Canis lupus familiaris: one gene and its partners. The protein of the gene in region 1 interacts with the protein of each later gene in a pairwise test. Links are inferred from orthologs where the notes say so. Each region holds a gene or a part of one and is shown in the gene's direction. Other genes may lie near its edges. The genes, in order: CREB5, FOSL2, KIFC3, FOSL1, ADAMTSL4, SPRED1 and EFEMP2.

Region 1 (4,431 bases):
GCCAAAAAATTTGTTTTTAAATTTGAGAAGGTGCTACACAAAAAGTAAACAAAATGAATGAAAAAAATTCCTATGTTAGGGGACTGGATTTCATGTGGATATGCTTGGATCTTTTACATATGTGCAGAAAAACTTGTTTGCAGGAGACTGGCTTTCAGACAGAGAAACAAAGGGACCATTTCTTCTTGTCCTGGGACTCAGCTAGGTACAACCTAGTCACCTACAAAGATGGGATTGGTGGTACATGGGCTTAGAATTGGATTTGCCCTCTGTCTCAGAACAGAATCTCTGGCCAGCCCAGGTATCTTGGTACCCATGGCAGTAAGTGATCACTGTCTTCATGAGAGATTTGCAGTGGAAACCCAACAGGCAGGGGCAGGGGTTCCCAAAAAACAGGCAGACTAAGACTGCAGAGTGGATGGTAGCTGTTCCATCAGATTTTGTGCCATTGGACAGGACTCCAGGCCTGGGAAGGCGGTGTGGAAGATCATGGCGGGACCCTGGCCTTAAGAGGAAGTGGTGTTACTAATCAGGCAATTAGAACAGGGAGACAGGACCTTGAGAAGAAATCTAAAGTTGGAAATCTTGGTTTCTAGGCATGTAGCAGCCCCGGTATTTAAACTGGGGTGTAGGATTAGGACACATTAACAGCGAGACAAATGAGCCATGCTTAGTTCAAGAGATGGCACCTTAACCCTTGTATCAGGTCGGGCTTAGCTTTCGGTCTTGGGGGGAAGGCCTGAGACTATTTCTTATGTGTTTTATATCTTCTAGCATCTATCAAGATGCCTGACTATGTAGTATTCATTAAGTGAGTATTGCAATGCGGGTGGCATAGATGGTGTTTTGAAAAGAAAAAAAAAAAGCAATGAAAGATTATGTAAAGCTGGATTTAAATTTATAGGAACATTATAAAAAAAATCTTTTACTCCTATTGAGATTGTATAATCCCCAACAGAGGCAGACAGGAAAGGGTAGCATTAGGAGAGGGATCCTGAGTTTATTTTGGAGGCTGGGTAGCCTGGTGGGAAAAGCACATGGGCTGTGGTCTCAGAGTGACCTGGGTTTGAATCTCAACTTTGCTAGGACTAACTGTGTGATCATGGACAATGACTTCACCTCTCGGAGCTCAACTCAGTCACCAGTAAAATATGGATGCTGTTGCATTCCTGGAAGGGATGTTGTGGGAATTCAGTGAGTTAACATATGTTAAATACTTAGGTGTGCCTGAGACCTAGTGGTCACAGGAATAGCAATTCCCATAGAAAGGCCTAAAGGAACCGTGAAGGAGAGAGGCAAGAGGCCTCTCTTGCCTTGCTGTGGGATTTGATGACTCCGGTGGGCCTGGTCCTTATGCTCCCTGAGTGATGCGATTCTTGCTGAGGTAATAATGGGCTGGGTCGATGTCATGCAGATCTGATGACAGGACACCCACACCCTGTCACCCTCCTTGCCAAGATGGGCTGTGCTCATTCAAGCCTCCCCTCCCTTGCTGACTGCTCCATGTGAACACCCCAGTGGAATTGGTCTTTTTTTGGCATCCTGGAAAAATGAGCATGGGTGCCTTGCTGTGGTCACGTTCCTAGAGAGGGAGTCCCTCTCTAGAGCTGGCATTGAGCCACCTCTGCAAACCCCATCCCTCCCATCCCTTGTCCAGGCATGCCATTTTCCTGCTTCCTCAGTCAGAATTTGAGCTTGCAGCTTGATGATACTTTTGTCTGGTTTGGAAGAGGGAGAAAGTACTGAAAATAAGAATTAGGGAAAGGGGACTTTGTTTCCCTCTTGCCAAGGCCCTTAAAGAAGTGAGACTCGTTGTTGGATCGGAGTCATGCCGCACTGGTGTTTCTCATTAGGTTGCCCATAAAGGCAAGGCCCCTGGGTGATTTTAGGTCCTGAAATCTTATCATCACGGGTTGTGTTAAATCCCCTCTTCTATGTTCCCGTCTCTCCATTCCCCACCTTCTCTTTCCAGGCAAAGCAGAGGGCAGGCAGGATACACATTTATGAATGAGCTGACGGATGTGTTCTACAGAAAACATGGCCAGGTAGGAGGGTGGGCTGTCATGGTGGGACATGTATAGTCCAATTTGGGTTTGGTTTGGCACCTCTTTTGGCCAATTCAGTGACCTTGGCTTTGTGGGGTCTTGTGTCATTACCTAATATTTACTGGGTGTTCAGTAGGTTCCTGGCACTGATCAGATACTTTATATATGTTATTTTGCTTAAACCTCATTGCAGTTTTATAAAGTATGTGTCATTATCCCCATTTCATAGATAAGGAAAATGAGCCTCAGAGAAGCAGATTAAGTGGCTCAAATAGCACTTTGAAGATAATGATTTTTCTATAGCTACAGTTTCTCCCACAGATACTGTGTCTTCTCCTGCTCTTGCTCTCAAAAAAACCCCACTGCCTGCTAAAAACAATGTTCCCACTACATTCATGTGACAGATAAAGACATTTGACCTCTCTGTAAAATAATTTGTTCTGCCTATTTCATGGAATTGCTTTGAGGACAAAGAATTTTGAGAAGGATTAAACATTTTACCAAGTAAAGAAATCACACTAATATCATGAAATTTATACACAGATAATGAAGGTTTGCTGGAATAGACAGAAACCAACAAACAAAAAGAGTAAGAGAGGGTAATAAGGAAAAGTTTTACTTGTTAACATGTATGCTTACCCTATCTGATTGCTCCACATGTAAACTTTACAACAACTTGGTAAGGTACACGCTTGTGCTGTTATTACCCCTAATTTACAAAGAGGTTAAGAATATTGCACAAAGTCACCTTGCTGGTAAGTGGCAGAACTGGAATTGAAGACCAGCAGTCAGAACCTGCAGTTTTAATTCTGATGATTCGATGTTCTGCTTTCTAAGGGTTTTCACAGGGGTAAGGGTAGGGGGTTAGGGGACCCATGAGAGAATTAATTTTTCTTTCTTTCTTGGGAGGGAGGACGGGAGGGAGGGAGGGAGGGAGGGAGGGAGGGAGGAGGGAGGGAGGAAGGAAGAGAAGGAAGGAAGGAAGGAACGGAAGGAAGGAGGAGGGGGAGGGTTGGGCGGTAGGGAGGATGGAGGGCGTTAGGGTGGAGTGCTTGAGTGGATGTCGATGGAGGAGGATGGTATTCGTTTGGGGTTTGCTTGATTTTCTTAGTCTTCGTTCTGCGTATTCTATTCTTAGCTTCCGTCCTTCCTTCCTTCCTTCCTTCCTTCCTTCTTCCTCTTCCTTCCTTCCTTCCTTCCTTCCTGATTTTATTCATGAGAGACACAGAGAGAGAGGCAGAGACATAGGCAGAGGGAGAAGCAGGCTCCATGCGGGGAGCCTGATGTGGGACTCGATCCCAGGACCCTGAGATCACAACCTGAGCCAAAGGCAGATGCTCAGCCATTGAGCCACCCAGGTGCCCCCATGAGAGGATTTCTTAACTCATTCTTTCTGGTGGAGTGTCTACCATGGAGGTGGAGACAGCGATGGTGTCCTACCAAAGCACTTGTAGGAATTGGTAATGAATGAGACGGGAGAGTTAAGGAAGAACATGCTCAGGTAGAACCTTATTAAAAGGCTCATACTTTACTCTAGAGGACAATGAAGGGTTGTATGCAGGGAAGTGCCGCTCTCACCATGGAATATTAGAAGCATGGCAGCCATGATGGCCGCAAGGAAGGGCTGGGGCAGGACAGTGAGATGGGCGGGACTGAAGGCCACTGCGTCTGACAGACTGAGCTGTCAGCTCAGCGGGGACAGGCGACTTAGCCTGCGTGAGCCTTGCATTTAAAATGGAGTCTAATGATAACCCCTACCTAGTGGAGTTACCCTGAGGATGAAATGAGAGCTGTTTGGCACAGTAGGTGCCTCATAAAGGTCAGCTATTCATACTGTGAGCTATTCCAAAAGGCCAGTTAAGCCAATGATGGTTTTGTCTGAGATGGTGACGGGGGAGTGGAGAAAAGTGGATAGATTTGGGGCACCTGAGTGGCTCAGTAGTTAAACATGGCCTTCGGCTCAGGTCATGATCCCCAGATTGGGCTCTCCACAGGGAGCCTGCTCCTCCCTCTGCCTGTGTCTCTGCCTCTCTCTGTATCTTTCATGAATAAATGAATAAAACCTTAAAGAAAAAGTGAATAGGGCAGCCCGGTGGCTCAGCGGCCTAGCGCTGCCTTCAGCCCAGGTGTGATCCTGGAGACCCGAGATCGAGTCCCACGTTGGGCTCCCTGCATGGGGCCTGCTTCTCCCTCTGTCTTGTGTCTATGCCTCTCTCTCTCTCTGTCTCTCATGAATAAATAAATAAAATCTTTTTTTAAAAAAGAAAAAGTGGATAGATTTAAGATAAATGGAATTTAGAGGATTTGACCATGGACTGGACGGGGTGGAGAGAGGAGAGAGAAAGCTGGAAAGAGAGGAGAGTGGTAGAGAAAGGAGAAGGTGGCA
Region 2 (3,805 bases), on another chromosome or scaffold:
AACACAGATATGTAGGTAGAGAGAGCGTGTGTCTACTCTAAGCAACATGGTGGTCAAGGGCCGGGAGGAGGACAAGGACTTAGAGGGAAATCTGGCCACAAATGCTACCACTTTTCAGTCTCATGAGTTGAAAGGCAGCTTTTTGTGGACCTGGCCTCACCCTGGATCGGGTCACAGCTCCATCCTACACCTATTTGGGAAGTAACAAAAGCAGGTATAATAAGCTTCCTGGTGATCTTCGTTGTCCCAAAGCTGTAATATGATTACATCCTCATGAGCCACCTGGAAATGGGGTCCCGAGGCCCTCAGGGGAACAGATTTGACATGGGGCCTCAGGAATAGTTAAGATCCCGCTCATTCTTGCATGTCCAGGGAAGCCCACCCAGTGTTCTGAGCTTGGCCCCACAGGCACTGACTCTGCTCTCCCTCCTGGCTCTGCTTGTCCTCTTCTGCGGGGTACTTACTGACTCAATACTCTGTTTCTCCTCATTTCAGAAATTTCGGGTAGATATGCCTGGCTCAGGCAGCGCCTTCATCCCCACCATCAACGCTATCACGACCAGCCAGGACCTGCAGTGGATGGTGCAGCCCACAGTGATCACCTCCATGTCCAACCCGTACCCCCGCTCACACCCCTACAGCCCCCTGCCGGGCCTGGCCTCTGTCCCCGGGCACATGGCACTCCCAAGACCCGGCGTGATCAAGACCATTGGCACCACCGTGGGCCGCAGGAGGAGAGATGAGCAGGTACAGCTCAGGTCAGGGTGAAGGAGCCACCTCGGTGGCTTTCAGAGCCTCATAACATGGAGTGTCTTTCCGTGTACCGGTGAGGGGCTGAGGCAGTGTCCTGGGAGCACTGAGGACAAGAGGGAGCTCGGGACTGGGGGCCCGTGACCCTCATTGTTGGAAGCAGAGCTGGAGGCCCAAGACTCAGGCCTGGCTCTGTCATCTTGCTCATGTCCCTTAGCATCCCAGAGTCTCAGCTTCCTCAGTTGCAAAATGGGGATAATGGTACCTGCCAGACAGGACTTACTACCACGCGGATGAGATCACATGTGGGAACACACACTGTATGTGGTAAGGTGTCAGCAGATGGGAAGGATTGTTAGGGCCTGCCTACAGCTGTGTCCTTCCCTGATCCGTGGCAGAGGGGCTGCAGGCCAAGCGGCCAACCAAATTCTGGCCGGGAGCTCTGGTGGATTGGTCCTTAATTGTCACCTGGTATCTGTGCAGGTGAAACACTCCGCAGACCCAAAGGGTCACCCTCCAGGCCCACCGTCCTTGGCATTCCTGCTTGGTTTCCTAGGCCTCTGGCTTGGAGCAGGATCCCATTTTGAATACTTGGAATGCCCGTCCTAGAAGTGCAGTAACTCAGGGGTCTTTGGAGTCTGCTCAGCTGCTTCAGCTAACAGCGTGTGATGGGGGGCAGGTCAGACATCAGCTTTGTCCTCCCCTCAAAGGGCTCCGCTCTGAGAAAGAGTCAGCCTGGCAGGGAGGGACACCAGAAAGCTGCTCTCTAGATACTGTCTACATACTCAAAAGCATGTCATCTGTGTCAGTAGTGAGCCAAGATAACGACAGGCCCCCTGATTCCCAAAAGCGGAAATCAGAGTCCTGCATAATAAGAGGGGATGAGCCTTCAAAAAGCTGCCTCTGTCGTCCTTCACAGATGATGCAACCAGAGCCTAGACAAACCTGCCTGGGGCCACTTGGCAAGAGAGTGAGGAAGTCTGGACCCAGTTCCCTGGACTCTCTGTGCGGTGCTCTTTCTACAGTACCATGCCCCCATGGATCCAGGGAAGGGAAAATACTTTAGCAGTAGGATCCCTCTTTGAAATGAAATATTAGCCTGGAAAATCACTCTTATCAGTTACCACCATCCACTTGCATTCTGGGATCCCAGGTCCACAGTTTCCCAATACAAAAACCTTTTGCACATGGGCTGCTGTGGAGAATCATGGATCCAGGGCCAAGAGTCCCCAGGGTGCTTAAGATGACAAGGGTTCCTACTCTGAGGAACTGGAAGCATTCACAGGATCTCCATTCCTCTGAGGACAAAGCTGGGCCTTGCATCCCCTACACACTGGTTTATTCTGTTAATGGCAGGACCCCACAGGGTGATGTGGAGAGTTGTGGACACTCTAATAGTTGCTGCTTGCAGTTGCTGGGCTTCTGCTCCTGCGGCAAGTGGCCGATATCCCCCTCTCCCCCACTGTTACTTTCCAGAATTGTAGTTGTCAACATTGCAGTAATGGTAATCATACTGTCCTTTATAAAATATGCTTCCTTCAGGAGCCCAAGGTGTCAAGCTTTACAGTCACTGATGAGCTGGTACCATGTTATGGAAGTGACCCCTAGGTGAGAGCCAGTTTTGTGAGGGACTTTCGAGCTAGCAGGACAAAACGTACGATGTGCTGAACATTCTCCATTCCTTTCTGGGCCAAGCTCACACTAAATTTAGAAGCTTGCATCCGGATGGGACTTAGGAGACCAGCTTTTCCAATTTCCCCTCTGTACCCATTTTACAGATGAGGACACAGAGGTCTGGAAAGGAGAAGGGTCCCGTCTAGGGTGACACCGTGAGTTAGTGGCAGAGCCGGGGCTGGGATCCACCTCCTCTGACCTTCAGCCCTGTGGTTTTCCCAGCATACCACCTAGGCGTGCCTTAAGACAATCTGTCTGGAGAATTTCCTTCCTTTTCTGAGAGGGAGGGAGAGAGCCAGGAGCATTTTATCCCACATCACTTAGGAATTCAGACAATCATCCAGCAGCTCACAGGAGACCTGGGCAGTAGCATCCTGGAACCTTGGCTCTTTGGGTTCCTAGCCTGAGGGTCTTCCTCTGAAGCAGACTTCCGCCTTCCTGACCTCTGCCAGGGAGAGGAGCCTGTTACCCAGAGCCAGCATGGTGCCTCGCTAGCCTCCTCAGAGCTTGCCCAGAGGCTCCTCTGAGGCCAGTGGTGGTGACTGAGAGGGTGGGGAGCAGAGAGTGTGTGGCTTGTGGGTAGGTACGTGGTGGCACTGACACACTAGAGTTGTAACTCTGTTGGTGTCACCACCCCTCAACACTTCCTATGCTGACAGCTCCCGCTAGCTGCCTCATATCTTACAGATAGGGGAGAGACTTCTAGGCTAATCAGGAGGCCAGAAGTTGTCCGGAAGCTGCCAAGGGGGAAGGGAAGCTAAAATGTACTACAACCATCTCTTCATCTTTTCTGCCCATCGTCAGTGAAGGATGAGGGGCTTTTCTGGGCCTCAAGGGGAGCCCTGGTAGACCTTTGAGTAGAGAACCCAGGACTGCTCAAATGCAGGACTGCAGCAGGGCCAGCAGGCTCTCTTGGTAACTGTTGGGCTCAGGTTGAGACAGGTTTAGGAGGAGCAAGTACTGAGGACCTCAGCCAGGTGGCCTCATGACCTCAGCTGGGCAGCCAACCCACACACAGAGCAAAAGGTATCCAAGTGGGTGAACTCTGGATCTCCAGTTCATCTGGACTCTTTCAGGGCTCTGAGAAAGCATCGGCAAAGGGACCTCTGATTTATATCTTTTCCCTTCCAGCACTTTCTAGTAGAAAGGGCTTTCACACTGCATCTCATCTAATCAAGACAGAAACTTTTTGGAAGATAGGACAGGTCCTAGCAATCCCATATTTTTTTTTTTAAGATTTTATTTATTTATTTATTTTATTTATTTTTTTTTAATTTATTTTTTTATTAGTGTTCAATTTACTAACATACAGAATAACCCCCAGTGCCCGTCACCCATTCACTCCCACCCCCCGCCCTCCTCCCCTTCTACCACCCCTAGT
Region 3 (3,805 bases), on another chromosome or scaffold:
GGGGAGATTTGACACACCCCAACACCCCCACAGCTGTCCTTTCTTGAAAGGACAGAAGTCTGGAGACATGGGCCTGTGTGCTCCCAGCCACGGCCTGCAGGGAGGGCGCTGAGCTTGTCTTCTCAGGGTGGACGCTGGGCATCCAGTCCTGTGCTGCCCCTCACCTGCCTTCCTACTGGTCTGGCCTCTGCAGGCAGCAGACTTTGTTGCTGTTGCTTCCTAATAAGACCCAATGCTTCGTGGCCTGCTTGGGTCAAACCCACCTCCTAGGTCCCCACAGAGAGAGTCTGACTCTCACTGGGCTTTCTCAAGGTGATGTACAGTCAGGTACGGTCATCACAGAATGTTCTGTGACAAAACCCCTAAATATGCACTGATGACATTGGTGCCAAAGTCTTCGGTTGCATTTTGGGTTATTTCCCAAGAGGTTCCTGGAGGGGGGCTGGTGCAGAATTGGGGTCTGGAGTCTGCAGGGAGGGTGGCCAGCTGGAGGACAACTCTAGGGGAGGGTTGTTACCCTGGGATGTACACTCTCAGAACTGGCATCCTGGTGGCTTCCTCTGGCTCTGGCTGAGCCAAGCCACCCTTGCTTCCTGATGGGGTGCACACACCCTTCTCTGATGGTCCCAGCTGTCCAGCAAGGCAGACAGGGACCTGGGGGGTGGGGGGACACAGGTCCAAGACATGCCCTGGTTGCTGGTAGACCTGTCTCTATAGGCAGACTTGCCAGGCACCACTGGAATGGAAAAATCTAGGTTCTGGGCAAGGACCAATCAGGTTTCATTGTGTCTGGAGTTTATACAATTTGGGAGCCCTTTTATGAAAAGGGAATATAAAATTACAAGTATGTAGACACAGGCTGTGGCAAGGGACTGTGCAAGGTGGGGGTCCTGAAGGTCAGCCTCCTGAGTCTGCCAGGGAGCTGCCTCTGGTGTGGGCACAGAGTGGTATAGAGGTCACCTCTGCTGTGCTTGCTCCCCAGACTTTGCTGAGAGCGGGACTACCTGGGTCTTGTGGTAGGAGAGGGTGCTGAAGGCCGTTGGGACAGGGCAGGTGTCTCTCACCCAGAGTCCTGGGTGTGCCCTGATGCTTGAACTGAGGGAGCATGCGGGGCTGAGAAATGAGGCCTGAGCGTGGGCCAGAAGTGAGGAACAAGGCTCACCGTGACTGTGGCTTTGTGCTGGCAGGTGGAAAACCTGAAGGAGAAGCTCATTAGCCAGGCCCAGGAAGTGAGCCGCCTTCGATCAGAGCTGGTGAGGCTCCACACTGCCATCCTAAGGTGGGGGCTGCAGGGGGGCTGGCCTGGCCTTGTGCAGACTGACCCTTCCATTTGAGGTGTGGGACCCCATCCCTCCAGAGCCCTCGAGTCCAGCCCAGCAGATGCCATTGGGCCTGAGAGATGCTCCCCAAATACTTGTCACCACTCACTAGGCCTTCAGAGGTCGTGTGACCCCCAAAGGGAGGGAGGTTAATTCTCATCTGCCGATGTAAAACAGGAGTGTGAACTCTGTGTATAAATATGACTTTCTTGTTACTTTCACACTCGGGAAAATAGCATGAGAGGGGCGGGTAAGGCCATCCCCCCGGCTCCCCTTCCTTCCTCTGTCTTCTCCTTATGTCCCCCTTGAGCTGTCTCCCCTCCCTCTCCTGCTTCTCTCTCCTCTGCGCTGGTGCCCCCTCGGCCTCCCTGCTCTCTGCTCCCGGGGCCTGGCCTTGCCACATGCATGCCCTGTGCTCTGGCTCCGTGCAGGGAGGCACGGACCTGGAGAAGCACCGGGATCTCCTGGTAGTGGAGAATGAGCGGCTGAGGCAGGAGATGCGGCGCTTCGAGGCCGAGTTACAAGAGCTACGGGCAAAGCCGGTGGCCCCCTGCGCGGGCTGCGAACACAGCCAGGTGAGCACAGAGCCACCTGCTCCCAGAGGGCTCGGTCCCTAACGGTGACCCCGGCTCCTCTCCTTGCAGGGAGCCCTGCATGCTGGTACCCCCCCCCATCTGTTACACACTTGTCCCCACCCCGCTCCCAACCACCTGTCTGCAGGAGAGTGCCCAGCTCCGGGACAAGCTGTCACAGCTACAGCTGGAGGTGGCGGAGAACAAGGGCATGCTGTCGGAGCTGAACCTGGAGGTGCAGCAGAAGACCGACCGGCTGGCCGAGGTCGAGCTGCGGCTCAAGGACTGCCTGGCCGAGAAGGCACAGGAAGAGGAGCGGCTGAGCCGGCGCCTGCGAGACAGCCACGAGACCATCGCCAGCCTGCGGGCCCAGTCGCCACCCATCAAGGTGAGCCTCTGGCGCTGGTGGCCACGTGCAATGTCCTTGCTTTCTTGGCTGCACCCCAGTCTTACCCCTTCCCCCTCTTGCTGTCCAGGGCCAGACATGTAGTAGGCATCTGGCAGCCGAGGCTCAAGGCGCCCACACGTGCCAGGCATGCCTGTGGTACATGGCAAGATTCTGCTGTCGTCTTTGCCCTTCCTGTCTGTTCTGTGCCCAGGCTGGGGTCACAGCCAGGCTCTTGGGCTTACTGAGATGAGAGGATGCCCGGAGGCCCTGCAGCATCCTGTAAAGCCAGGACCTTGAAGTTCCTCTAGTTTTTTCTGGGGGCTTTTGGTGGGATGTCCCTGAGGGTCCTCTCCCAAGGCCAGCTGCGTCTCAGGGCCCCCCCGGGGGTGAGGTCGAGGCACCTGCACCTTCAGGCGCCCATCCCTCCTCCCCCTCACAGTACGTCATCAAGACCGTGGAGGTGGAGTCATCCAAGACCAAGCAGGCCCTCAGCGAGTCCCAGGCCCGGAACCAGCACCTGCAGGAGCAGGTGGCCATGCAGAGGCAGGTGCTGAAGGAGATGGAGCAGCAGCTGCAGAGCTCTCACCAGCTGACGGCGCAGCTCCGGGCGCAGGTGCGCAGGCTGCCAGGGCACACGCACGGGGCTGTGGGAGAGCATGCACACGCGGTGGGAAAGCCAGAGGTGGGCCTGCAGCACAGCGCGGCGGTTCAGTACTGGGGGGCCCATGGAGCTGGGTTCCAGCCCCCCCACCCTGCTCTCCCTGTTGGCTGTGTGACCAGCGCCAAGTTTTATCTACGCCTCTGTTTCCTCGTCCATAAAATGATGTGCTCATAGAAGCTACCTCCCTGTGGAACTCAGAATAGTTGCCAAGAGTCCTTGCCTGCAGGCCGGGCACACAGGCTCTTGGAAAGGGGCCTTGGTCACTATTATGACATAATATGCTCTGCTGGGGCCTGTGGCTTGTGTATGTGTTATGTGTCAGGACCCAGGCTGGTGCTGGGGCTAATGCAACAAAGTAGCTGCATGGAGCTCACAGAACTTTCCAGGAGTGAGATGGCCTCTCCTGTGTGTGTGTGTGTGTGTGTGTGTGTGTGTGAGACTGTATGTGTGCATGTGGAGGTGGATGCTGTTTGCTCCTGTACATGTGTGGGGTAAGGCATAGGGCTTCTTTCTGGCACCCACCCCACTCCCTCCTGAGCCCCACGTTGAGCTTCTGGCCTTGGCCGTCAGATCGCCATGTACGAGTCAGAGCTGGAGCGGGCACATGGGCAGATGCTGGAGGAGATGCAGTCCCTGGAGGAGGACAAGAACCGGGCCATTGAGGAGGCCTTTGCCAGAGCCCAGGTGGAGATGAAGGCCGTGCACGAGAACCTGGCAGGTGAGCCAGCCAACTGGGCCCTTGCCCGCACCCCCCCACCCCCTCACTGCGGCCCCCCACCCTATCCACCTTACACCTCTTATGTCCCCAAAGGTGTCCGGACCAACCTGCTAACCCTCCAGCCGGCGCTGCGGACCCTCACCAATG
Region 4 (2,903 bases), on another chromosome or scaffold:
CCAAGGCTTGAACCCAGTTCTCTTCCCGGAACACTGATCCCCCATCTCAACTCTTTCCTCAGATTTCTGGCTGAAAGAAAATCTTGGCAGGTAATACATAGAGTACATACAGTGCAGCTTGCATGGTTCGGGGAGGTTTCTACCTCATTAACCGTATTGTATTTCACAGAATCGAAGAATTCATTGATTTGAAAACCCACACCATTGTTTTATGTCACTAAATTTTCTTAAAGTTGCCAATCCAACTATGATTTAGAGCTATTAAAAGGCATTTCTTAGCATCAATGAAATGCCATAATCCTCACTTAACACCAGTATTAAAAACAAGGAAACCCAGGCACATTGAGGTTAAATAACTTGCCCAGAGTCATGGCCAGTAAGTGGCTGAGCTAAGAGCTAACTGGGACAGCCTAAACCCAGGGCAGTGGTTCTTGCCACCACAGCCTCTGTGCATTGGACACCTGCCACTTACGAGGCACTGTCACACACTGGATTCTCACAGCCACCCCTGGAGTTAGGAGCTGGAATTTTTCTATGCAGATGGGACTCAGGCAGAGTACAGGAGTAGCTGAGAGCCTAGGTGCCAGGGCCAAACTCCACTTCCTACTTACTGGCTATGGACCTATGGACAACTGTTTTTCTGTCTGAAAATGAAGACACTGTTGTGCAAATTATGAGTCAGTATTTGTAAAGTGGTTGGGACAGTGCCTGGAATTCATATGTTATATGTATTAGTTCTGACAGGGAAATGAAGGCACAGCAAGGTTATGAGACTTGCCCAAAGTCACATAGCTCCCAAGCAGGGATTTGTCACCAAGTTAGTCTCTCTGTCAAGTTGTGCTCTTTCTGGTCATACGGAACGAGCAGCTGCATTGACGGTGGATGAAATTGTGGCTTCTGTCCTGTTGAAGCCCCTCAATCTACACAGACTTCATCCTTGGCTTTCCATTTCTTATGCCTCAGAAGTTCCACCTCGTGCCAAGCATCAATGCTGTGAGTGGCAGCCAGGACCTGCAGTGGATGGTGCAACCCCACTTCCTGGGACCCAGCAGCTACCCCAGGCCTCTGACCTACCCCCAGTACAGCCCCCCACAGCCCCGGCCAGGAGTCATCCGGGTCCTAGGACCACCTCCAGGGGTACGTCGCCGACCCTGTGAACAGGTAAGTAGCAAAGGCATTGCACTGGTTCTGATGCCCATAGGGGTGCTGAGGTGCAGAGGACAAGTTCTTGGCCAAAAGAACACAGGCAAGGCAGCCTGGGTGGCTCAGCAGTTTAGCACTGCCTTCAGCCCAGGGCATGATCCTGGAGACCCATGATCGAGTCCCATGTTGGGCTCCCTGCATGGAACCTGCTTCTCCCTCTGCCTGTGTCTCTGCCTCTCTCTCTTTCTCATGAATAAGTAAATAAAATCTAAAAAACAAACAAAAAACAAACAAACAAACAAACAAAAAACAGACTTAGAAAGGGAGTGCTGGGGAAGAAGAGCCACTGATGACTCCTGGCCAAAGCTGAGAGTAATAGGAGCCCTTGGGGTGATCCAGAGGGCAAGAGGTGATTCTAGGCTAGGGAAAGCTTTCTGAAGCTGGAGGTATATTAGCCCAGAAGGATGGGTAGGATCTTCATAGATAGAGATGAAAGAAAAGACATTTCAGGGAGAGAGGATGGCAGGAACAAGAATGGAGGTGGACATGAGAACGTGTAAGGTGTACATGTGGAAAGGTGGATGGATGGTAGAGGGTATCCCTGCTGAGATGTATGCTGTCTATGTGCTGGGAGGGAACAGAAAGGGGAGGGTTCCCTGTAGCTACTCTCTGGGGCTGTTTCCCTATCTCATTTAATCTTTACAAATAGCCTCTAGGGATGCACTCTGGTTTTCTCCACTTTACAGCTGGGAAATGAAGGCACAGAGGTAGTCACTTGCCCAGATTACACAAGTAGTGAGTAATGAGACAGGTCTTTTCAATTCTAAAGTGAGATCCTAACCATCAAGCCACACTATCTCATCCAGAGCTAACAGAGGCTCGAAGCAGAGTGAGTTGGGAACTCTTGACTCCCCAACCAGGGCTCCTGCCTTCACACTAAAAAAAAAAAAAAAAAAAATCTTTACCAACATAAATAAGAGATAGAGGGTCTTTAAGGGAGTTGCTCCTCTTTCATTTTGGTTTATGAGACTGTACTGGAGTGAGACTTACTCATTAAGGAGCTTGCCCTGACAGCAGGGTAGATGAGAAGTCAGGATCTTGCAAAGATGAACAGTTAGACAGGAGTGGCTTTCCCAGAAACAGCAGGATTGGCAGTGTGACCAACTGCAGAAGAGGACCATGCTGTGAGGTCCCAGAGGCAGGCTCCTGGACTTCTTTAGCCCTGACCTGAGGGTGGCTATTTGTTTCTGGGACTCCTAGACAGGGGCTATGAGCTCTAAGTAGGGTTCTTTGTGGGGGGCTGGTCCCCATCAGCAGGCCTCTCAATATTGAATAGAGTGAGTGGATTTTAATTTCTGCTCTGGGACCATAAAGGAGTTATCTATCCTCTCTGGGCTTCAGTTCCTTATATGGAAAGTTGGGAAAAAAAAAAAAAAGGAAAGTTGGGTAAATAATCTGTGTAAAGCTCTTAGCCGGCATGTAATAGGTTCCTAATAAAAAACAACTTACTAAATAAATAAATAAATAAAAATTAAAAAATAAAAAACGTACTCAGCAGCAACACTCATTAACTCCTCTTAGTGCTTACAAACCCCTGGGGAAGAGGACACTTGGGTGGCTCAGTGGTTGAGTGTCTGCCTTGGGCTTGCTGGTGATCCCAGGGTCCTGGGATTGAGTTCCGCATCAGGCGCCCCGCGGGGAGCCTATGTCTCTATGTCTCTGACTCTCTGTGAGTGTCTCATGAACAAATAAAATCTTTT
Region 5 (3,805 bases), on another chromosome or scaffold:
AGATCCTGTTGATTCCTGCCGGCGCCTCCCAGCTCCGGATTGCCCAGCTCCAGCCCAGCTCCAACTACCTTGGTGAGCTCTCCAGATCCGAGTGTTGGGTGCCTATGCCATTCCTGGTCTCTTGGTTCAGCCCTCCACACCCCTTGGAGCCCAGCAAGTGGGCCAAGAGAATAGTCAGGGGCTCCTTCCCATGTGGCAGTGGTGTGGAAGCCAAGAGAGTGTGGGGTGCCCGGGGCTCGGCGTGGCTGACCTCTGTCCTGATCTCTGATCGGCAGCCCTTCGAGGCCCTGGGGGCCAGTCCATCATCAACGGAAACTGGGCTGTGGATCCCCCTGGGTCCTACACGGCCAGTGGGACTGTCTTCCTGTACAACCGTCCTTCTCGAGAGGAGGGCAAGGGGGAGAGTCTGTCAGCCCAAGGCCCCACGACCCAGCCTGTGGATGTCTACGTGAGCTTGGGGCCTGGGGAAGCTGGACAGCTGGCAGGGAGGGAGGGAGGGCCTTCCCTCTGGGGCACAGCTGTGGGTCACGAGATGGGGGAGAAGGCTAGCGGTGTGCCCTGGCCGCCCCCACCCCGGACAACTCCTCCCAACTCTCTCTCCAGGTGATCTTTCAGGAGGAAAACCCAGGCATTTTTTACCAGTACATCGTCTCTTTGCCTCCTGCAAACCCTGAGAGCACCACCCCAGAGCCCCCCAGCCCCCAGCTGCAGCCAGGTGAGGCTCTGCTCCCCTCACCTAGGGGGCGGGGAGGGACTGGAAGGGGAGCTGTGAGGCAGTGGGCTGTATCTGATCTGCCTGCGTGACTGACCACCCTACACAGAGATCCTGAGGGTGGAGCCCCCACCCATGTCAGTGCCCCGGCCGGCCCGGACCCCAGGCACCCTCCAGCGCCAGGTGCGGATCCCCCAGGTGCGCCCTCCTCCGCTGCCCAGGACACCCCTGGGGTCTCAGACTGGGTACTGGAAGCGAATGGGACACTCAGAGTGCTCGGCCTCTTGTGGAAAAGGTGAGACTTGGGATCCCTGGGTGGCGCAGCGGTTTGGCGCCTGCCTTTGGCCCAGGGCGCGATCCTGGAGACCCGGGATCGAATCCCACGTCGGGCTCCCGGTGCATGGAGTCTGCTTCTCCCTCTGCCTATGTCTCTGCCTCTCTCTCTCTCTCTGTGTGACTATCATAAATAAATGAAAAAAAAATTAAAAAAAAAAAAAAAAGAAAAGGTGAAACTTGATGCACTAGGCCTGTATTCCTGGCACCTTTAGACTAAGACCCTGACAGGGCACTCCTGACCCCACACCCTGGATTGAGGATCCATACCTTGACTCTGTGTGAAGATGAATTCCAGTGTCTGGAGCTGCACGGACGCTGGGCTCTGGGCCATCCTGCCTCCCCTGGCTTCCCTGTCATCTCTTCAGGTGTTTGGCGCCCCATTTTCCTCTGCATTTCTCGTGAGTCAGGGGAGGAACTGGACGAACACAGCTGTGCCATGGGTGCCAGGCCCCCGACCCCCCTGGAGCCCTGCCATGGTCCCCCATGCCCGCCCTAGTGAGTATGACCCACAGGGAGGGCTGGGGTCCTAGGAGCACAACAGTTGTCCCCGGCAGACGCATTCACACCGCCTTAGCGTATTGCCCTGGACTCTGCACCCAACACACTAGGCCTCCTGGCTGCAGAGACCCAGTGTTTGATTGGAAAGGCTCACGCTCCCTGGACAGGAGGAGAACCCTGGCAGCCCGAGCCCCACAAGGGAAATTGGGCTCCAAGTGATGAAGACACCCGCCCTGCCCTGCAGGGTTTCCCTCCCCCAGGACTGTCATCCCTTGCCCCACCCATGGCAGCCCTGCACACCTGTGTTTTCTTTATCCATGTCTCTGCTTCTTTCTTGCCCTGTTACCCCACAGCTGGGAGGCTGGTGAGTGGACGTCCTGTAGCCGCTCCTGTGGCCCCGGCACCCAGCATCGCCAGCTGCGCTGCCGGCAAGAATTTGGTGGGGGTGGCTCCTCTGTGCCTCTAGAGCGCTGTGCACATCTCCCTCGGCCCAATGTCACCCAGACCTGTCAACTGCGCCTCTGTGGCCACTGGGAAGTTCGCTCCCCCTGGAGCCAGGTGAGTGGGGCCCGGCAAGGGAGCTGCCAGGGTGGGAAGGACCCTAGGTGGACGGGTGCCAGTGAGCTAGAGCAGTGGTTTTCCTGATCCTTTTTAACTGGCAGAAGCTTTTTAATGACAAGACCTGAGCGTGTGAAACCCCAGCATATAAGTCAGATGAGACCCTGAACCGGGGATTGGGGGCCCAGAGCCACCTGTCGAGTCTGCCCCTCAGCCCATACAGCCCTATAGGTGCTGAGTTAGGGAAGAAGGCAGGTCCTGGTTGCAAGGCCCTGGAGCCCGAGGCTGGAGGCCCAGAGGCCCGGAGGCTGGGCTCTCACGAGCTCTCCTCCCCAGTGCTCAGTGCGGTGCGGGCGGGGCCAGAGGAGCCGGCAAGTTCGCTGCGTGGGAAACAACGGCCATGAAGTGAGCGAGACGGAGTGTGCGTCAGGCCCTCCGCGGCCCCCCAGCAGAGAGGCCTGTGACATGGGGCCCTGTACCACAGCTTGGTTCCACAGCGACTGGAGCTCCAAGGTGGGCCCCACAGCCCTTACCCGAGTCATGCATCCCTGGTGCCCACACCCAGGACCTTTCCAACACATTTTGGTCCACATTTACTGAACAAGCCCTGGTATGTGCTAGATGTTGCTGATGCTGGGATTCCGAGTTAAGTGAGAAGAACTCACGTTAGGGTCCCGGACTCCCATTACAGGTTCTTCTTACCTGGGTGGTACCCGGGGCACTCCCCAACTCAGGGGATCCAGGACGGGCCCCCCTCAACCCCTTTTCCTCCTCCCCTACCCATCACCTTCTCAACAGTGCTCAGCCAATTGTGGGACTGGAATCCAGCGACGGTCTGTGGTCTGCCTTGGGAGTGGGGAGACCCAGGGGCTGGGCCAGGAGGAAGCAGGGGCAGGGCCCAGCAAGCAGAGCTGTGCACCGGGAAGCCGTCCCCCAGACATGCGTGCCTGTAGCTTGGGACCCTGTGAGATGACGTGGTGCTGGTACACGGGGCCCTGGGCCGAGGTGAGCCAAGAGCTTGGAAGGGGGCTGGCAGGAGTGATCCCTGTTCTCCCTTCCCCTTGCACACCCTGCCCTTCCTCTGTATCAGTGCTCCTCAGAATGCGGTTCTGGCACGCAGCGTAGAGACATCATTTGTGTGTCCAAACTGGGAACTGAGTTCAACGTGACTTCCCCCAGCAACTGTTCCCACCTGCCCAGGCCCCCTGCCCTGCAGCCCTGTCAGGGGCAGGACTGCCAGGACCGATGGTTTTCTACTCCTTGGAGTCCGGTGAGTGCCTGACTCCCCTGTCTTGTTGAGCTTCTAAGGAAAGTTTGGAGGCTCCACTCCTGGTATCCCCATTGTGTCCCAGCATGAGGCCAGCTGCAGCTGGTTTATTATTGCCCCACTTCCTGTATACATGGAGGACAAGTGGGCCCTGTCAATGTGGGATTGCATAATGTTCCTGGTGAACCCCCCCCCCCAACTACTTTCAGAGAAGGAGGTGGCCTGAGGTTCAGGAGGAACCTGGGTCACAGCAGAGGTCTGATTTGATAGCGGGGTCTCCGCAGTGTTCTCGCTCCTGCCAGGGCGGTATTCAGACCAGGGAGGTCCAGTGCCTGACCGCCAACCAGACTGTCAGCATCCGATGCCCTCCTCACCTTCGGCCCTCCAGGAAACGACCTTGTAACAGCCAACCGTGCAACCAGCGCCCCGGTAAA
Region 6 (3,805 bases), on another chromosome or scaffold:
ACGTGGGATTCGATCCCGGGTCTCCAGGATCGCGCCCTGGGCCAAAGGCAGGCGCCAAACCACTGCGCCACCTAGGGTTCCCGCTGTGTTTGCTTTTCTTTAATCTTTTTTACCCCTGTTCTTCAGACTCAGTAATGTCTGTTGTCTGTTTTCAAGTACATAGATCTTTTTCTGCCTGTTCAAATCTGCTTTAAATCTTGTAATTTTTTTTTTCATTTATTATGCTTTAAAGCTCCAGAATTTCTTTTTAGATTTTGTCTCTTTATTGATACTTTAGTTTGTACATCATTTTCTTGACTTTCTCCTTAGGACAGTTTTGTGGGATTTTTTTTTAGCCTTTGCCTAATCTGCCGTAAGGCCTTTTTTAGGGACAGTTTCTGTTGATTTTCTTTTTTTCTTACAATGGGAAAAGGAAAAAATGAATTTACTGTTTCTTTGTGTGCCTTAAGTTTTTTTTTGTTGAACACTGAACGTTAAATCAAATAGTGTGCTAACTCTGGAAATCAGATTGTCAGGTTGTCCCTTCTGTAAGATTTTATTTATTTTTTTAATCGTTGTAGGTTGTCTCTATGCTGAGGATCTGCCTAACGTATAAATTTAGATCTTCTCATGTCTTTTCTGAGTATTTCCCTGGGTATGAATAGTCAGTTTCTAATTTTCCCCATGAATGTAATTTTGTTTGAATGTCCTGGTCTTTAATGTCTAGCACCCCAAATGGGAAAAAATAAATGATAGGTAAAAAAAGGATGCTGATCCTTTAAATAACCTAGACATCTCTTGATTCTGTTGAGGAGGGACTTGAAACAGTAAGGGAAGATATAACAACTATGGCTATCCCCTTCTTTGCACCTATCTGATCAGAGTTAGTCATCAGTAATCAGAGCACAGATCCCTGATATGTGGAGGACAGGGTTCTTTTTACCCACCCTGGCTCCTGTGATTTATGTGCAGGGTGCTCCAGGAATATGTTGTGCATATCTTCCTGCCATGGGAAATGGGTAGTTGCTATTGTACTAATGCAGAGATTGACCAAAGTTAACCCCAGTTTGCTGTCCACGTCTTCCCTTGGGAGTTCAAACCTTCAACAGACTTCAGATTTCCAACATAGTTACATCAGACAGATTCTGCCAATGTAATTATTGTCTAAGTGGGGAGAAAGTTTCCTTCATACTTTGTCATCTTCCAGAATCCTCTTTAATCCCATTTTGATTTCTGTATTGAGTGACTTTATGAAGTAGATTAACTAGCAAGACCTCTGTATTAATAGAAGGGGGAAATGCATTTACTAAAATAGCTCTTATTCTCACCTCCATTTGTATTTAAGAGCTACATTAGATTATGTGATATAAGTATAGTAATCTTTGGCATTTAACTCTTGGCAGGTGGTTTTGGAATGTATGCTTAAAAAAGACCTCATTTACAATAAGGTCACTCCAACATTTCACCACTGGAAGATTGATGACAAGAAATTTGGCCTTACCTTTCAAAGTCCTGCTGATGCTAGGGCTTTTGATAGAGGCATTCGAAGAGCTATAGAAGATATTTCTCAAGGTAGGTTTTCTTAACTGCTTTCTTAATTTGTTTAACCTATATGGTAGAGTAGAGTGACTTTAAGCAAGACAGCTTTTGTGATTTATGTAATTAGCTTTGAAAACTCACTCTAGGCAAAGATAAAATCATGCTTTTTTAAAATCCATTTTATATTTGTCACATCATAATATATACCACTTACATGTATTACCTCAAACTCATCAGTACAGACTTCAGATGATTCCAATGGTTCTAAGTAACAGCATGAAGAAGAGGGAGCGGTCAGAACTTTGAAAATCTTTGTGTGTTGTTATATCAATTATATCCTTGTTTTGGTAATAAAAAAGAAAAATTTAAATAATCAAAAACAGGTGACCCTTAAACAACATTGTTTTAAACTGTGCCAGTCTACTATATGTGGATTTTTTTTTTTTTTTACAGTGCAGTACTATAAATGTATTTTCCTTATGATTTGCTTGGTAATGTTTTCTTTTCTCTATTTTATTCTTAAGAATACAGTATATAATACATATGATACCCAAAATATGTGTTAATTGTATATATTACTGATAATGCTTCAGTGGACAGTAGATTATTTAGTGTTTGGGAAACCAAAAGTTATGTGTGGATTTTCAGCTGCATTTGGGCGGGGCAGGGGTGGGTGTTCCTAACACCTGCATTGTTCAAGGTTCAATTGAATTGGGTTATTAGAAATTTTCTCTTTTTCATATGTAGACTCTATTTTTTCCTATGGCGAACCCTTTCTTGAAACTCTTAGCTTTTTACCTGGTTTCATTTTTTTTTTTTTTCTGGTTTCATTATTGAGGATTGGCAGAGACCACAGCCCCATCTACCTCTTTGTATATTTTGCCAGTCTGTTAAGATTATTAACTCTAAAGCTTGCAGGTTTTAAAAGGAAGAAGAATGTATTTACGTGTAAGACTGGCCTCTGCTTAATTAAGCAAAAAGAAGCACTTTAAGGCCCATTTCTTTCCCACAACGAGGTTATAATTAAGGCTTGATTTGTTTTTCTAATTAAGAAGGAAAATTGTCTCTATAAATAGAAATAACCTTCTTATAAAGTAATAATCAAAATATATTAGCATTGTGATTTGTATATTTTGAAGATATTTTAATAGGAAAGTTAGAAGAAATGAATGAACTATGAGACTGGCAATAGGCAAGAACATGGAAAGGCTTAGTATAAATCTGTACTGCTGGTGCATGAACCTGTGCTTAAATAATCTATTTATCTATTTTCAGGGATTAATGATTGGTAAACAAAGTGATTTACAGTTTAGAAAAATTCCATGGAATAGTAGCAGTCATTTTAGCTTTATGACAGGAACCTATAAGTTCTTTCTAGATTGTTCTCATTGTTTGCTATACATTTCAGTCACCTGGGACACTTTGGAAAATAGAAAAACTGGTCCCCACTCCAGACTAGTCAAGTCTGTCTATCTAGGGAGGGGAGCTGGGGCTTTCCTTTCTTTTCTTTTCTTTTCTTTTCTTTTCTTTTCTTTTCTTTTCTTTTCTTTTCTTTTCTTTTCTTTCTTTCTTCTTTCTTTCACGTTCCTATCTATTTCAGATGTGATGGAAAATTGCAAAATGATAATATAATGAATTTGGGGGGGGGGGGGAAGTTCCTGAGATTCTCCAGTAGTGGTGTGGTTCTCAAACCACTGCAAGAAATAAAAAATATGTGATGTCCTATGCCTTGCCTCATCCCAGATTCTGACAATACCAGTTTGAGAATATACTATGGTACCAGTATATTTTCTAAAAGTTTGCCAGTTGACTCTGATATTTAGGTAGTGTCCAAGATCCAGTACTTTAAAAAGACAATCATTATCTGTGGCTGCTAGAATTTTTAACTTATTTTTACCTTTTTTAATTAAGCTTTTTATCTTCACTCCAATGTAGTTAACACACAGTGTTGCATTAATTTCAGGTGTATGACATAGTGATTGAACCATACTATGCTTAGTGCTCCTCATGATAAGTGTATTCTTAATCCTCTTCACCTATTTCATCCATCCCCCAAGCACCTCCCCTCTGGTAACAATCAGTTTGTTCTTTATAATTAAAAGTCTGATTCTTGGTTTGTGTGTGTGTCTCTTTCTTTTTTCCTTTGCTCATTTGTTTTGTTTCTTAAATTCTGTGTATGAATGAAGACGTGGTATCTATCATTCTCTAACTGACTTTGCTTAGCATTATGCTCTCTGGCTCCATCCATGTTATGCAAATTTTTTATGGCTGAATAGTATTCCAGTGT
Region 7 (4,438 bases), on another chromosome or scaffold:
CAAGTACCCCTTCCCTTGCAGGAGGATTGCATGAAGTGCATGCTGGTGGCTGGGAAGTTTATATCTTGAAATTTAAGAACTCTTATTATTCTTAAAAACAACTTTATTGAGTCATAGTTAACATTCCATAAAATTCAGCCTTTTAAAGTATTTAATTCAGGGGATCCCTGGGTGGTTCAGCAGTTTAGCGCCTGCCTTTGGCCCAGGGCGTGATCCTGGATTCCCAGGATCGAGTCCCACGTCCGGCTCCCTGCATGGAACCTGCTTCTCCCTCTGCCTGTGTCTCTGCCTCTCTCTCTCAAATAAATAAAATCTTAAAATATATATATACAATTCACTGGATGCCTGGCTGGTTCAGTCAGAAGAGCACAGGACTCTTGATCTTGAGGTTATAAGTTCGAGCCCTATACTGGGTGTAGAGATTACTTGAATAAATAAATTTTTAAAAAAACTTTATATAATTCAATGGTTTTAGTGTACTTGCTTAACTGAGTAATCATCACCACCATCTGATTTCAGAATATTTTCATACCCCCAAAAGAAACCATGTCAGCAGTCCCCCCTTCCCTTGGCAAACATGAATTTGTCTCCTAGATTTGCCTAATTCTAGATGTGTCGTATTAGTGGAATATGAGGATGTATGTCTGGCTTCTTTCACTTAGGGTAATACTTTCAAGATTCTTCCTTGGTTTTAGCACACACATCAGTACTTCCTTTTTATGACTGAGTGACATTTCATCATATTACCACATTTTGTTTATCCATTCATCAATTAATGAACATTAGATTGTTTCTACATTTTGGATCTTATGAATAACATTGCTATGAATGTTGTGTATAGGTCTTTTTGTATGGACATGTTTTCAATTCCCTTGGGCATGTACATGGGGGTGAAATTTCTGGGTCATGTAACATTCTGAGGTCCTGCCACACCGTTTCCCAAAGAGGACCATCTTAAATTCCCACCTGCAGTGCAGGAAGATTCCAATTTCTCCATTTCCTCACCAACACTTGTTAATGCCTGTCTTTTTGGTTTAGAAGAGCTATTCTTTTTAGCATCCTCGCCCCCGTGGATGTGAAGGATCTGGGGGGTGGAGGGGTGCACTCTCCAAGTCACCTTGAACCCCAAGGGCTGACCTGCGGACCCATTTGCCCCCGTCAGCACACCCTCCCCCTGGGCGGGGCTGCACTGGGGGCGATCGTGAGGCTAAACCCCGGGTGGGAAGGGGAAGGGAGGGCTCAGCGATTCCCGCACTTCGTCTGCCCCCCGGCGGGAGATCCCTGGACACGCGGCCTTTTCCCGTCTGGTCCCGCCCTGAAACGTGGGCAGGAGGAGGCCCCGCCCCTTCCTGGGAGCCAACTCCGCCCAATCTCCTCCCCGAAAGGCGCGCCCTCGCCCTCGGCTCCCGAAAGGAGGCTGGAACCCCGAGGTTGGGGGTGGGGACGCGTTGGGAAGGAGAGCGGCTGGGGCACTGGCACCCGACCCTGGCGTCCGGTACGCGCCAGTTCAGCCCTGCCTGCCTTCTCAGGGGCTTCCATTCATTCTGGGCCAAAAGGCAACTGCAGACCCCGCTCCCAAACCGTTGTGGTTTCGCAGAACGATTGTTGGGAGGAGGCCGTCCAGGAGAGGAGGGACCACCTGCGGCTGACAGCCCTAGGGATGGAGGAGAGAAGGGGCGCACCTGAACTGTTCTGGGCCTGGGAGCGTCTCGTCCTCGGGCGAGGGTCTGGGGCCCCCGAATGAAATTTTGGTGTTCCCAGTATGACTGTACAAGGTGCACAGAGTAAAGGTCTGCAGGGCATAGAGCGAGGGTCTGGAAGCCCCAGGATTAGATGGGGTCCAGGAACCGAGGATGACATTCTGGGAGGCGCAGAGTGTGAAGGCCCAGGCGTTAATTTGTGGGTGCGCAGGGCGGAATTCCAGGAGCCCAGATTTGTAGGGTCCAGGTGCGCAGGGTGACATAGTGGGGTGCACAAAGTGAGGGCCCAGAGGCTCTCGGGTGAGTTTGGGGGCCTGACATCAAGGCCATACACCCGGGATGGGGATCTAGGGGGACCCTGGCCCTGCGCCAGGAGGCGGCTCCGGGCAGCGCCGCGGGGGACCGGGTGGGGGCCTGTGGCTGGCCGGGGGCGGAGAAGCGGGGGGTCGGGGTCCCTCCCCCTGGCGCGGGCTCAGGAATCCGCCGAGGGGCGGGCGGAGGCGCCGGGGTGGGCCGCGCCGCGGCGGGCGGGCGAGCGGGGGGCGCTTCCTGGGGCCGCGCGTCCAGGGAGCTGCGCCGTCCGCCCGTCCGTCTGCCCGCAGGCACTGCCCGAACCAGCCGAGCCGCCGGAGACGCGGGCCGCGGGGGCGTCACGGGCTCAAGTGAGTGGCGGTCGGTGTGGGGAGGGCGCGAGCCGGAGTCTCGGCCGAGTCGGCGTCAGCGCAGAGCCGAGAGGCCCGCGCTCCTCGGCCCGCGCCACTGGGGGACCGGGCGGGGGCGGGGCGGCCCCGGGCGGGTGGGCCCCGAACCCCGGCCTGAGGGTGGAGTGGGCCCTGGGTCCTGGGAAGCTCCGGGGCCCCAGGCACGGTACGGAGCGGGGGGCGGCTGGGGCCAGGGTTCTGAGTTCTGGTACAGGGAATGGGGGTGGGGGTGCGTGGCGGAAGCGCCCTGACCCCCCTTCCCTCCACTACCCCTCCGCCACCTCCCAGCCCCCAGGATGCTCCCCTTCGCCTCCTGCCTCCCCGGGTCTCTACTGCTCTGGGCGCTGCTGCTGTTGCTTTTGGGAGCAGCGTCTCCCCAGGATTCGGAGGAGCCCGACAGCTACACGGTGGGGACAGTGGGGCCACTGGCCTGGGCCGGGCTGGGTTGGGACACAGAGATCAGGATCCTGGGGTGGCTGCTGCTGGGGGAGATTGTCCCCTCCCCTGATTGGTGTAGGAAGCAGCTGGGGGCCATTGTTTGGAGCAGGCTGGGAGGGTGGCCAGACTCAGGCCCTGATCTTGGCCTGGTCATCTGAAGGGGACTGGGGATGACTACTGGTCATCTCTGGTCCCTTTGTAGGAATGCACAGATGGCTATGAGTGGGACCCCGACAGCCAGCACTGCCGGGGTGAGTGTGCCCAGGGAACTGGGGAACTGACCCACCCCCAGGAACTGGGAAAGGGATTGCAAGCTCAGCTCCAAGAGCAGCATCAGGGAGCCCGATGACCTGTCCTCTGCCCAGCTTGGCTTGGCGGAGGCCAGCTCTGATTCTCTGGGGGCCAGCTCAGCTAGGGGTGGAGAAGCCATGCAGGCCCCTCCCTCTCAGAGAAGCCCGGGACATCCTGTCCCCACCACTCAGTGGGCAGGAGAGCAGCAGGGCACTGCCCAGAGGAGCTGGGTCTTGGATACCTCGAACTACTCTCCCGTCTGGCTTTGCCCCATCACGTCCTGGGAGGACAGTGTCTGCGGGGTGGGTAGGGAGGCCTGCCCGTCACTCTTGGGCTGAGCCAGGGCCCAGGCTATGGGGAGGGGTAGAGAGCCTCTTGGGGACAAGAGAATGGGGCTGACTATGGGAATAGCCCCCTGCCCCACCATTTGCCCAGGCAGGCCTTGAGGAGGGGTTCTGAGCAGGGAACCTTAGCTTGTTGAGTCGAGAGAGGAGGCCCTGCCTGGGTCACACAGCTTATAGAAGGCCGGGCTGGGCTCCCACCTGCCACCCACTTCACAGCCAGCCCAGGAGACCGGCTGTGCCCAGCAGACCCCTCTCTGCAGATGTCAACGAGTGCCTGACCATCCCCGAGGCCTGCAAGGGAGAGATGAAATGCATCAACCACTATGGGGGCTACTTGTGCCTGCCCCGCTCAGCCGCTGTCATCAATGATCTGCATGGCGAGGGACCACCACCACCAGTGCCCCCTGCTGAATACCCCAACCCCTGCCTACCAGGCTATGAACCTGACGAGCAAGAGCGCTGTGTGGGTGAGTGAGGGTCACCTTGGCACTAGGGCTTTCAGTCCACCTACTAAGCATCTATCACTGCAACTTAAAAACTCGGACCTCAATTGCTCTCTTGCTCAAAAGCCTCTTCAGAGCTATTGGGATTGCCATCCAGATCCTCACTCTGTGAGGTGCCTGCCACAGGTGGCCCCAGCTCTGGTCTCAGTGCTCTAGCCAGCATCTGGATCCCCCTCTCAGCTGCTAGAGACACACTGCAAGGGCAGGCAAGAGCTCTGCCTCTTAGCTTCTGCCCTCTACCCACTTCCCACCTGTGGGTGCCATGGTCCTTGGAGGAAGGCCCTGGAATCGGTGTTCCTGGGAGTCTGGGCAGGGCCTTATTTCCTATGCATCTCTGGTAGGGTATCTCACAGATCAAGGGTGCCTTTCCTGTTGGCTCCCAGGCTGATGGGCTGTTATTGTGCTGTTGGGAGGGTCTAATCCATGTGCTCCTTTTTGGGGGAGGCTGTGCCAGTCATCCA

What was found.
Region 2: the proteins of CREB5 (region 1) and FOSL2 interact in binary tests that used the Homo sapiens proteins (3 or more experiments, as listed by UniProt). The two-hybrid records come from large-scale screens. The link is inferred for Canis lupus familiaris from reciprocal best matches to the Homo sapiens genes CREB5 and FOSL2.
Region 3: the proteins of CREB5 (region 1) and KIFC3 interact in binary tests that used the Homo sapiens proteins (3 or more experiments, as listed by UniProt). The two-hybrid records come from large-scale screens. The link is inferred for Canis lupus familiaris from reciprocal best matches to the Homo sapiens genes CREB5 and KIFC3.
Region 4: the proteins of CREB5 (region 1) and FOSL1 interact in binary tests that used the Homo sapiens proteins (3 or more experiments, as listed by UniProt). The two-hybrid records come from large-scale screens. The link is inferred for Canis lupus familiaris from reciprocal best matches to the Homo sapiens genes CREB5 and FOSL1.
Region 5: the proteins of CREB5 (region 1) and ADAMTSL4 interact in binary tests that used the Homo sapiens proteins (3 or more experiments, as listed by UniProt). The two-hybrid records come from large-scale screens. The link is inferred for Canis lupus familiaris from reciprocal best matches to the Homo sapiens genes CREB5 and ADAMTSL4.
Region 6: the proteins of CREB5 (region 1) and SPRED1 interact in binary tests that used the Homo sapiens proteins (3 or more experiments, as listed by UniProt). The link is inferred for Canis lupus familiaris from reciprocal best matches to the Homo sapiens genes CREB5 and SPRED1.
Region 7: the proteins of CREB5 (region 1) and EFEMP2 interact in binary tests that used the Homo sapiens proteins (3 or more experiments, as listed by UniProt). The two-hybrid records come from large-scale screens. The link is inferred for Canis lupus familiaris from reciprocal best matches to the Homo sapiens genes CREB5 and EFEMP2.

What each region holds. Positions count from the first base shown.
Region 1 is NC_049235.1:41,627,013-41,631,443, forward strand, and holds the start of CREB5 (cyclic AMP-responsive element-binding protein 5), read left to right. Parts: upstream 1-1,436; 5' UTR 1,437-1,934; coding exon 1,935-2,045; intron 2,046-4,431. UniProt on the Homo sapiens protein: Binds to the cAMP response element and activates transcription.
Region 2 is NC_049238.1:22,382,793-22,386,597, forward strand, and holds part of FOSL2 (fos-related antigen 2), read left to right. Parts: exon of another isoform or gene 1-214; intron 215-495; coding exon 496-747; intron 748-3,805.
Region 3 is NC_049223.1:57,991,373-57,995,177, forward strand, and holds part of KIFC3 (kinesin-like protein KIFC3), read left to right. Parts: intron 1-42; exon of another isoform or gene 43-315; coding exon of another isoform or gene 316-327; intron 328-1,187; coding exon 1,188-1,253; intron 1,254-1,750; coding exon 1,751-1,894; intron 1,895-2,039; coding exon 2,040-2,279; intron 2,280-2,718; coding exon 2,719-2,892; intron 2,893-3,510; coding exon 3,511-3,658; intron 3,659-3,751; coding exon 3,752-3,805. UniProt on the Homo sapiens protein: Minus-end microtubule-dependent motor protein. Involved in apically targeted transport. Required for zonula adherens maintenance.
Region 4 is NC_049239.1:51,871,290-51,874,192, forward strand, and holds part of FOSL1 (fos-related antigen 1), read left to right. Parts: intron 1-963; coding exon 964-1,161; intron 1,162-2,903.
Region 5 is NC_049238.1:60,400,275-60,404,079, forward strand, and holds part of ADAMTSL4 (ADAMTS-like protein 4), read left to right. Parts: coding exon 1-72; intron 73-275; coding exon 276-448; intron 449-603; coding exon 604-715; intron 716-821; coding exon 822-1,007; intron 1,008-1,413; coding exon 1,414-1,543; intron 1,544-1,899; coding exon 1,900-2,104; intron 2,105-2,440; coding exon 2,441-2,617; intron 2,618-2,902; coding exon 2,903-3,109; intron 3,110-3,194; coding exon 3,195-3,374; intron 3,375-3,655; coding exon 3,656-3,800; intron 3,801-3,805. UniProt on the Homo sapiens protein: Positive regulation of apoptosis. May facilitate FBN1 microfibril biogenesis.
Region 6 is NC_049251.1:5,952,283-5,956,087, forward strand, and holds part of SPRED1 (sprouty-related, EVH1 domain-containing protein 1), read left to right. Parts: intron 1-1,382; coding exon 1,383-1,551; intron 1,552-3,805. UniProt on the Homo sapiens protein: Tyrosine kinase substrate that inhibits growth-factor-mediated activation of MAP kinase. Negatively regulates hematopoiesis of bone marrow.
Region 7 is NC_049239.1:51,889,395-51,893,832, forward strand, and holds the start of EFEMP2 (EGF-containing fibulin-like extracellular matrix protein 2), read left to right. Parts: upstream 1-1,426; 5' UTR 1,427-1,495; intron 1,496-2,302; 5' UTR 2,303-2,362; intron 2,363-2,689; 5' UTR 2,690-2,697; coding exon 2,698-2,808; intron 2,809-3,041; coding exon 3,042-3,090; intron 3,091-3,734; coding exon 3,735-3,941; intron 3,942-4,438. UniProt on the Homo sapiens protein: Plays a crucial role in elastic fiber formation in tissue, and in the formation of ultrastructural connections between elastic laminae and smooth muscle cells in the aorta, therefore participates in terminal differentiation and maturation of smooth muscle cell (SMC) and in the mechanical properties and wall integrity maintenance of the aorta.